Linked DNA regions of Macaca fascicularis. The protein of the gene in region 2 interacts with the protein of the main gene of each other region in a biochemical or structural test. Links are inferred from orthologs where the notes say so. Each region holds a gene or a part of one and is shown on either strand. Other genes may lie near its edges.

What was found.
Region 1: the proteins of LZTR1 (region 2) and KRAS form a complex in vitro, tested with the Homo sapiens proteins (2 studies listed by BioGRID, with this or other methods). The link is inferred for Macaca fascicularis from reciprocal best matches to the Homo sapiens genes LZTR1 and KRAS.
Region 3: of the proteins of LZTR1 (region 2) and HRAS, one has a biochemical effect on the other in vitro, tested with the Homo sapiens proteins (3 studies listed by BioGRID, with this or other methods). The link is inferred for Macaca fascicularis from reciprocal best matches to the Homo sapiens genes LZTR1 and HRAS.

Annotation. Positions count from the first base shown.
Region 1 is NC_088385.1:27,937,469-27,941,117, reverse strand, and holds part of KRAS (GTPase KRas), read left to right. Parts: intron 1-3,213; coding exon 3,214-3,329; coding exon of another isoform or gene 3,330-3,333; exon of another isoform or gene 3,334-3,337; intron 3,338-3,649. UniProt on the Homo sapiens protein: Ras proteins bind GDP/GTP and possess intrinsic GTPase activity. Plays an important role in the regulation of cell proliferation.
Region 2 is NC_088384.1:31,973,107-31,976,755, forward strand, and holds part of LZTR1 (leucine-zipper-like transcriptional regulator 1), read left to right. Parts: intron 1-722; coding exon 723-806; intron 807-1,543; coding exon 1,544-1,601; intron 1,602-2,830; coding exon 2,831-2,970; intron 2,971-3,649. UniProt on the Homo sapiens protein: Substrate-specific adapter of a BCR (BTB-CUL3-RBX1) E3 ubiquitin-protein ligase complex that mediates ubiquitination of Ras (K-Ras/KRAS, N-Ras/NRAS and H-Ras/HRAS).
Region 3 is NC_088388.1:430,396-433,405, reverse strand, and holds the end of HRAS (GTPase HRas), read left to right. Parts: intron 1-317; 5' UTR 318-367; coding exon 368-478; intron 479-761; coding exon 762-940; intron 941-1,091; coding exon 1,092-1,251; intron 1,252-1,346; exon of another isoform or gene 1,347-1,428; intron 1,429-1,949; coding exon 1,950-2,069; 3' UTR 2,070-2,074; intron 2,075-2,182; 3' UTR 2,183-2,467; downstream 2,468-3,010. UniProt on the Homo sapiens protein: Involved in the activation of Ras protein signal transduction. Ras proteins bind GDP/GTP and possess intrinsic GTPase activity.

The DNA.
Region 1 (3,649 bases), on a different chromosome or scaffold from region 2:
TTCGGAATGTGAAAAGCCAGTGTTTTGTTTCATAGGTATATACTGTATGCATTTTAAAAAATAAGAGCCAGTGCCAGTGGTTTACAGTGTACACAAGGATAATGTTCTCATGTTCTCTTGATGTCAGTATGACTTTAAAGCATATTATGAAGAAATAACTAAGTCTGAAAAACTGTGGTAAATAACTGATACTCTAAAACCTAAATTTCTCATTACTAAAAATAAGAAATGGAAGAAGTCACCCTGTGCTGTTAATTATATGAACCACTGAGGTCCTGACACTGAATTCTTGGTTGTGGATAATAATCTCTTCTTTTTAATTATTGGCTTCCAATTCTCTCTCTGCATTGCTGGAAACAAAAATCATGTATTTCACTATTGGTGGTGGGGATGCTGACGCTGCAAAAGTAGACACATTCAAACTGATTTTAGAAATAAGTTAAAATCAAAATTTGCTTCTGCTAAATTAGTAGAGGACCAATACTGTTTTTCTCCTTCATAGTATGTTTTGGTTCTTCTACATTGACCTTATAACTTTTTTTTTTTTAAACAGGAATAGAAGTTAACATTCTTAGAAAATTTATGAAAATATGAGCTTTTACCTGGTTTGTGTGTGTATATGTATATACGTATTTTTAATTTTTTTACATTGATTTTCAAATTGAAAGAGAATCATTTGTGAAAATATCTTACAGAGCTCATGCTTTACATTTTACATGCTACAAAGTTATTTCAGTGCCTTTATGTCGCTTATTAATGAAAATTTTGGATACATAATATTTTGAAGACAAAGGTAAAAATAATAAACCCTTTCCTTTTGAGGGTTAATGATAAATATAAACTGTAAAACGATTAAAAAAATTTTTTTTAGAGACAGCATCTTGTTCTGTTGCTCAGACTGAAGTGCAATGGTTCAGTCATAGCTCACTGAAGCCTCAAACTCCCGGGCCCAAGCAACCCTCCTGCCTCAGCCTTTTGAGTAGCTGGGACTTCAGGCTCATGCCAACATGCCTAATTTATTAGTAGAGATGAGGTCTCAAACTCCTGGCATCTCTTGCCCTCTCAAAATGCTGGTACTAAAGCATGAGTCACCACACCTGACACTTAAAATCTTTAATATACAGGTGTAAGTAGGTATCTAATTTAAAGTGCCAACAAAGGTAGTTGAAAATTTGTATTTATACTTGGCTTAGCGAACTAGTTGACTAAATTGATTCCATTAAAAATAAGAATGTTCTTAGAATATAATGATTTTCATTATTAAATAGAAATATATCACTGGATGGTATATGTTAATGACTTGAGATACGCATTTTAATATATAATCACGTTACTTAAATGCCTGCTTTTTGAACTGAAACTTAACATTATGAATTTTAAATTAAAGTTTGACTTTAGAGGTAAATTTCTGTACTTTACTAAAGCAGTTCTTAATACGCTTCTGAGATTTCTAAAAATTAGTATGCCTTAAAGAATTGAGGTGTGTAACTACTGCCGGCAGCAGATGTACAGATGACTTCTGTGTGCAAAAATTAAGCCCTGGCCATTGGTTGACTTCAGCTAATACTTAGTTGCCAATTATCTGTGTGTGATTGAGTTTAAAACTACAGATGGTACTTGTGATATATTAACTTTTTAGGTGCTAGGTCCACTTTGTTACATTTGGTTCAGTAGAAACATTGATGTTACGGATCTCAGAAAGTTAAAATATGTATGCCAATCCCCAAATTAGGTAATTCATTCTTAATTTTAAGATAAAAGAATAGAATTCCCTTAAAATTAAATGTGGAGTAAAATATACCAGCTTCAAAAAATATTTACCTACCTTTTAGAATAATAAACACAATATTACATCTTTTAATTTGCACTACATATAGATTAATATTTCTGTGCATTTCTCTGTGCTCCTACTTTGATGGTATGCTTTTCTGAACAAACTAGCAGCACAATTAAGGAAGTCCTTTTCCCCTTTGATGACTGCCTAATTTTCTAGATTGGAAAGGATTAAAAACTTTTATCTCCATATGGCCAGTATATGATTGTGCCTGTTGTCATAGCTTTCTTATCATAGGCTTAAGCAGGAAAAACTCTATTAAAAGTATTTAAATTAGAATAGAAGGTACAAAGCCAGTATGATTGAACACTGTTCTAAAAATTATTTTTAAGACTTGTAGTAAGGCCAGGTTTGGTGGCTCATGGCTGTAATCCCAGCCCTTTGGAAGCCAAGGTGGGCGGATCACTTGAGCTCAGGAGTTTGAGACCAGCCCCGGCAACATGGCAAAACCCTGTCTCTACAAAAAATACAAAAATCAGTCGGGTGTGGTAGTGCTTGCCTGTAGTCCCAGCTATTTGAGAGGCTGAGGCAGGAGGATCACCTAGCCTGGGAGGTCGAGGCTGCAGTCATGATCGTGCCATTGCACTCCATCCTGGCAACACAGTGAGACCCTGTCTCTAAAACAAAACAAAATAAATAACAACAAAAAAAGAGCTTGTAGTAACGATACAAAATGCTCCTATTTTGTGTGTGTCCTTTAATTCATGATGTTTTTATATTATGGTAAGCAGCTCTCATTTAAGATTTTAATTTAATAATGTAGTTAAACATGTACAGAAGACCCAGTCTCAGCTTTACTTGTAGACCCTGGAAATAGATTGGAAGGTGTTAAAATTTAAAATAAAACTCAAGATTCCAGTTTCTTGACTCATCTTTATTTTGATATTCTTTTATGTTTTTGTTGTTTTTTTAACAAAGGTTGCACGTCCATATTTTACCATTTTTCTTCTCATTCTCCCCTGGGGGAAGGTGTGGGAATCAGTAGTACATAAATCACCTTTTCCCTAAGTCAAAGAAGTAATTTAAAGCTAACTTCAGTTTAGTCTTTAATTCCAAGACTAGCAAACTAAAATGGTTGCATTAATTGACAAACAGATGCTAATAAATGTGTTTAGGCTTGTCATAATCTCTCCTAATTCCTAATTTAAAAATTTTTACATTTAATTCCATTAGAAAACAAAACTGACTTTTAAGAACAAACCAGGATTCTAGCCCATATTTTAAAACTGCATCCTCAGTTTTATTCAAACAGTCTGATGTCTGTTTAAAAAAAAAAAAAATCTCAAGCTCATAATCTCAAACTTCTTGCACATGGCTGTCCCAGTAAATTACTCTTACCAATGAAACAGACTTTAAAGAAGTTGTGTTTTACAATGCAGAGAGTGGAGGATGCTTTTTATACATTGGTGAGAGAGATCCGACAATACAGATTGAAAAAAATCAGCAAAGAAGAAAAGACTCCTGGCTGTGTGAAAATTAAAAAATGCATTATAATGTAATCTGGTAAGTTTAAGTTCAGCACATTAATTTTGGCAGAAAGCAGATATCTTTTAAAGGTAACAAGGTGGCAACCACTTTAGAACTACTTAGGTGTACTATTCTAACTTGAAGTATTAAAAGATAAGAAACTTGTTTCCATACTTAGTACATTTATTTTTAATCTAGTGGGAATTATAATTGAGACAATTTTGATGGCTGTAGTAGACTAATCTATATTTGGCATAAAGTCTAATGATTTAATGAGTCTTAAGTAAACTAAGTATTTGGGAACTGATATTTACCTTTATTTTTAAGGGAAATCATACTCAAGTTTTG
Region 2 (3,649 bases):
AGCGGGAAGATCACTTGAGCCCAGGAGTTCAAGGCTACAGTGAACCATGCATGCCTCACTGCACTCCAGCCTGGAAGATGGAGCAAGACCTTGTCACAAACAAATTTTTTAAAAAGACCCAATGGGCTGGGCGCGGTGGCTCAAGCCTGTAATCCCAGCACTTTGGGAGGCCGAGACGGGTGGATCACGAGGTCAGGAGATGGAGACCATCCTGGCTAACACGGTGAAACCCCGTCTCTACTAAAAAATACAAAAAATTAGCCGGGCGAGGTGGCGGGCGCCTGTAGTCCCAGCTACTCGGGAGGCTGAGGCAGGAGAATGGCGTAAACCCGGGAGGCGGAGCTTGCAGTGAGCTGAGATCCGGCCACTGCACTCCAGCCTGGGTGACAGAGCGAGACTCCGTCTCAAAAAAACAAAAAAGACCCAATGTACTGCTGATGGCGCTTCTGGGGTCCTGCTTTTTGAGTACCCCCTTTGATATTTTGGTGGCACCTGGGAGAAGGTTCTGTGCCTCTGTGGCTGTCTGAATTCCTCTTCAAGCCTCCAGTCGGCCTCTGAGGCTGTTGCTTATTCCTAGTGCCTTGTGGAGGCCCTGAAGCCCCAGCGTCGGGCGGATGTGGCCATGCAGCCTGGCTGTGGCCCCTGCACTGACCGTATGGGACTGCGAGGCTCAGGTCTGTGCTGGGCGGCCTCACTCCCTCCCCTCTTCCCTCACACTTCAGGTTGCCAGTCGCTAGGTCGGCCCACGGGGCCACGGTGTACAGTGACAAGCTGTGGATCTTTGCTGGCTATGACGGCAATGCCAGGTGGGTGGTGGTCCGGCCTTTGCACCCCACCTCCGACTGCACAGAGACCGGAGGAGGCCATCCTGGCATTTGAGGGCTTAGGCTGGAAGAGCTCTGCCTAGTAGATTTTGAGTGTCACTGTCCAGGGGTTTCTTGGGAGGGGGACAGGGAAAGAGGAGGATGGGCAGATGGAGGTGAGGACCACTGGGTGGAGCCCCATGGCTACCTCAGTTGCTCGGGTGAGGATCCTCAGCCAGGAGTCGCCGTGCAGGGCTGAGTCGGTGGGCGGATGGGCGGTGCCCAGGCTCAGGCCCAGCCCTGGTTCTTGCCCAGGCCAAAGGCCTTTTCCTCCTTATTTTAGAAAGTTGGCTTTGCTCTCTTTTTGTGATTACAAAAGTAGCATGTGCTGGTTTCCCAAAACTTCAGCATCATAGAAACTCCTAACAATGCAGTGATGATGGTGGTGTCTGTGATATCTGTGTCCTCTCCCTACCCAGGAGGGACACAGCTGGCCTGCCACACTGCCCCAATGTCATGCATGAGAGTACTTGTTCTGTCTGGGCCGGGCAGGGGGCCCAGCATGGCAGGGATTTGAGGCAGTGCCTGCCACCCCACACAGAAGTTCCCGCCTCCTGGCCGCACAAGTCCCCTACCCTGTGTGGGGGTGGGGGTCCTCCCTTCAGCCATCCCTTCCAGCCAGGACTGGCCCACCCTGACAGCCAGACCCAAGGGGTCCTCACTGGTCTGTCCTAATACAGGTTGAATGACATGTGGACAATTGGCCTCCAGGACCGAGAGCTCACCTGCTGGGAGGAGGTGAGGGGCACCGGGAGCCAGGGTGCAGGTGGAGGAGGTGAGGGGCGCAGGGAGCCAGGGTGCAGGTGGAGGAGGTGAGGGGCGCAGGGAGCCAGGGTGCAGGTGGAGGAGGTGAGGGGCGCAGGGAGCCAGGGTGCAGGTGGAGGAGGTGAGGGGCGCAGGGAGCCAGGGTGCAGGTGGAGGAGGTGAGGGGCGCAGGGAGCCAGGGTGCAGGTGGAGGAGGTGAGGGGCGCACGGAGCCAGGGTGCAGGTGGAGGAGGTGAGGGGCGCAGGGAGCCAGGGTGCAGGTGGAGGAGGTGAGGGGCGCAGGGAGCCAGGGTGCAGGTGGAGGAGGTGAGGGGCGCAGGGAGCCAGGGTGCAGGTGGAGGAGGTGAGGGGCGCAGGGAGCCAGGGTGCAGGTGGAGGAGGTGAGGGGCGCAGGGAGCCAGGGTGCAGGTGGAGGAGGTGAGGGGCGCAGGGAGCCAGGGTGCAGGTGGAGGAGGTGAGGGGCGCAGGGAGCCAGGGTGCAGGTGGAGGAGGTGAGGGGCGCAGGGAGCCAGGGTGCAGGTGGAGGAGGTGAGGGGCGCAGGGAGCCAGGGTGCAGGTGGAGGAGGTGAGGGGCGCAGGGAGCCAGGGTGCAGGTGGAGGGAGGTGGGAGGCAGGCAGAGCCAGGCTGGGGGTCGAGGCTGCTTTCTTCCCCTTGCAAAGCCCAGCCTTGACCTGAGCCTCGCTCTCCTCCCTGGTGACCCGCAGGCCTTCATGACCAGTTCCTCACTGTGGCTGCGCAGTGATTCGAGCCTTGGTGTTTTAGATGGGCAGAGCGCCATGTGTGTGAGGGATGTGGTTTTGCTTTAATCCACCCTTTATTTCAATGCAGTGAGGGCAGTCTGCTATCTAGTGTTCTGCTCCCTGAAACTCCCCCTGGGATTGCTTTCCCCTTTAGAAACATGGAATTTATTTATTTATTCATTAAAAAAAATTTTTTTTTTCTCAGTCTTCTGGGCATGAAAAACATATGGGTTTAGCCGCTGCTGATTTAACCCTGACGATTTTAGCCCTAGCTGTTCACAACTGGGCCCCCTGAAGTGGAGGAGACAGGGCTATGTGCTGCTCGAAGACAAATGAATCTGTGAACCCTCATCTGGGGAAGTTTCAAGAATAAAAGCAGTCCCATCTCAGCAGTCTTGAGCGTGGTGAAATGTGAGTGGGCCCTGGGAGGCCAGGGCTGAGCTGTTCTCTCCCCCATGCAGGTGGCCCAGAGTGGCGAGATCCCCCCGTCTTGCTGCAACTTTCCCGTGGCCGTGTGCCGGGACAAGATGTTTGTGTTCTCCGGGCAAAGCGGAGCCAAGATAACCAACAACCTCTTCCAGTTTGAATTCAAGGACAAGACGTGAGTACTCTGGCCAGTGGGGTGGAGGGAAGATAGTCAGCGCCCCCGAATCCTTGAATGTGAAGGACGCCCCCTGCACCTGGTGGCCATAGTAACCATCCTTCTGAGCTCTGCAAACAGCAGGAGGTTCCAGCCTGGAGCAGGGATGTGCAGGTCCCCAGGATATGGCTACAGTTTAGCAAGATAGGGCCTGGCAAAGAGGCCCCTGACTAGGCCTCCCTCTGACTATGAAGGACATCCCCTTCCCCGTGAATGGCTTGGTCAGTGCCACCAGTAACAAACGTGCCCTGCATAGATCTCAAATGATGGCAGAAGACCAGAGGGGCCTGCAGGTCCCCAGAGGTCTGGCCCATGCTGCCCCTGGCTGCTGGCCAGCCCTTGACCCTGCAATGAGGCTGCAGGAGAGGGCACAAGGAGTGTGAGCTGCAGGTACAGAGGGTTTGGGAAGGGACTTGGGAGCTTCCCTGGAGGCCACGGATGCGTGGGAGGATGGGCAGGGTGCCCCAGGACGAGGGAACCTGTCGAGGGCCCGGGGCTTAGCAAGGAGCCAGATGGCATAGCCCTGCCAGGCCAGGATCTGTTCTGAAGTCTTCAACTAACTTAGCAAAAGAGGGGACTTGCTGGGAGGTACTGGGAAGCCTGGGAGGTGGAAGGTGCTGGAGCAGCATCAGGATGTAGG
Region 3 (3,010 bases), on a different chromosome or scaffold from region 2:
GGTAACCTCAGCCCTCGGGCGCCTCCCTTTAGTCTTTCTGCCGACCCAGCAGCTTCTAATTTGGTTGAGAGCGCTCAGCTGTCAGCCCTGCCTTTGGAGGCTGGCTCCCTTTTCCCCTCACTGGGTCCTTAACAGCAAGTGGGGGCGAGGCGACAGCCCTCCCCCGCGCTGGTTTGCAGCTGCACAGGTAGGCACGCTGCAGTCCTTGCTGCCTGGCGTTGGGACCCAGGGCCCGCTATGGGTTTGCTCTTCAGATGGCTCTGCCAGCAGCTGCCCTGTGGGGCCTGGGCCTGGCTGAGCAGGACCATCCTTGGCAGGTGGGGCAGGAGACCCTGTAGGACCCCGGGCCGCAGGCCCCTGAGGAGCAATGACGGAATATAAGCTCGTGGTGGTGGGCGCCGGCGGTGTGGGCAAGAGTGCGCTGACCATCCAGCTGATCCAGAACCACTTCGTGGACGAATACGACCCCACGATAGAGGTGAGCCTGGCGCCGCCGTCCAGGTCCCGGCAGCTGCTGTGGGCGAGCCCAGGACACAGCCAGGATAGGGGTGGCTGCGGCCCCTGGCCCTGCATGGTGCTCTGGGCCTGTCTCCTGCTTCCTCCAGAGAAGGGGAGCCCCTCGTCTCAGCACCCCAGGAGAGGGGGCATGAGAGGGGCATGAGGGGGCATGAGAGGGGCATGAGAGGTACAGGGAGAGGCTGGCATTGTGAACTCCCCGCATGGAGGGTCCTGAGGGGTCCCTGAGCTCTGTCCTCCTGCAGGACTCCTACCGGAAACAGGTGGTCATTGATGGGGAGACGTGCCTGTTGGACATCCTGGACACAGCCGGCCAAGAGGAGTACAGCGCCATGCGGGACCAGTACATGCGCACGGGGGAAGGCTTCCTGTGTGTGTTTGCCATCAACAACACCAAGTCCTTTGAGGACATCCACCAGTACAGGTGAACCCCTTGAGGCTGGCCCGGGAGCCCATGAGGCACAAGTGGGGTCAGGCCGGCTGTGCCCAGACAGGGGCCTCCTGTCCTCTCTGTGCATGTCCTGGATGCAGTCGTGCCTGCAGCCCCTATAGCCAGCTCTCACTTTTCCTCCCAGGGAGCAGATCAAGCGGGTGAAGGACTCAGACGACGTGCCCATGGTGCTGGTGGGGAACAAGTGTGACCTGGCTGCACGCACCGTGGAGTCTCGGCAGGCTCAGGACCTCGCCCGAAGCTATGGTATCCCCTACATTGAGACCTCGGCCAAGACGCGACAGGTGAGGCAGCTCTCCAGCCCACAGCTAGCCAGGGACTCGCCCCGCCCCGCCCCAGCCAGGGAGCAGCACTCACTCACCCCTCTCCCTTGACACAGGGCAGCCGCTCTGGCTCTGGCTCCAGCTCCGGGACCCTCTGGGACCCCCCGGGACCCATGTGACCCAGCGGCCCCTCGCGCTGTAAGTCTCCCGGGACGGCAGGGCAGTGAGGGAGGCAAGGGCCGGGGTCTGGGCTCACGCCCTGCAGTCCTGGGCCGACACAGCTCCGGGGAAGGCGGAGGTCCTTGGGGAGAGCTGCCCTGAGCCAGGCCGGAGCGGTGACCCTGGGGCCCAGCCCCTCTTGTCCCCAGAGTGTCCCACGGGCACCTGTTGGTTCTGAGTCTTAGTGAGGCTGCTGGGGACACTGGCCATAGCTCAGATGAGAGCTGGGTGCAGGGTGGTCAAACCCTGGCCAGATCTGGAGTTCAGGAGGGTCCTGGGCCACCCTGACCTTTGAGGGGCTGCTGTAGCGTGGTGCAGGTGGCCCTGGGCTCTTCGAGATGACCAGAGCCCAGCTTCCTGTGTGTGTGGTGGGCCTGGGGAAGTGGCTGGTGGAGTCGGGAGCCTTGGGCCAGGCACGGCTTGATCGCACAGCAGGGAACCCCTCACCTAGGCAGGGGGCCACAGGCCTGTCCCTCCTGATCCCATTTCTCCTTTTCCAGGGAGTAGAGGATGCCTTTTACACATTGGTGCGTGAGATTCGGCAGCATAAGCTGCGGAAGCTGAACCCTCCTGATGAGAGTGGCCCCGGCTGCATGAGCTGCAAGTGTGTGCTCTCCTGACGCAGGTGAGGGGGCTCCCAGGGCGGCCGCCACGCCCACCGGATGACCCCGGGCTCCCCACCCCTGCCGGTCTCCTCGCCTGCGATCAGCAGCCTCTTTTGTGCCCCGCCCAGCACAAGCTCAGGACATGGAGGTGCCGGATGCAGGGAGGAGGTGCAGACGGAAGGAAGGAGGAGGAAGGACGGACGGAAGCAAGGAAGGAAGGAAGGGCTGCTGGAGCCCAGCCACCCAGGGACCATGGGCCGAAGTGACCGCAGACCCTCCCAGGGATGCTTTGCACAGACTGTCTTGAGCATCCCAGATGCTACCAGAACCCCAGCCCTTAGCTCCCCTCCCAGGCCTCTGTGGGCCCTTGTCAGGCGCAGATGGGATCGCAGTAAATTATTGGATGGTCTTGACCTTGGATTTTGGCTGAGGGTGGGACACGGTGCACGTGTGGCCTGGCGTGAGGTATGTCGGAACCTCGGGCCTGTCCAGCCTTGGGCTCTCCACAGCCTTTGGGAGGGGGAGGTTGGGAGAGGCTGGTCAGGGGTCTGGGCTGTGCTGCTGTCTCCTCCTGCCTGCCCCAGAGTGTCCATGGATTCCGGCAGAGAGCTCTGGACAAGCAGGCAGATCATAAGGAGAGCTTACTGCGCTGCTACCAACTAGGAGGGCATCACGGTTCTCCAGAGGGAGGTGATTTCAGGGGTTGGGGATCTGTGCCGGCGGCTCTGGTCTCTACCTGGGAGCCGCCTTGGCAGTGAGAGGCGTCGCTTTTCCTGACTTTTTCCCATGGTGAAATGCACCTGCCAAGAATGGCAGACATAGGGACTCTGCCTCCTGGGCCTTCACATACCCAGTTTTCTTCATCTCTCTGGCCTGGAGCAGTCTGTGGACCTTGGAATTAGGGCTCCAGCACCGACTGGCCTCAGGCCTCTGCCTTATTGGTGGTCGGGTGGCGG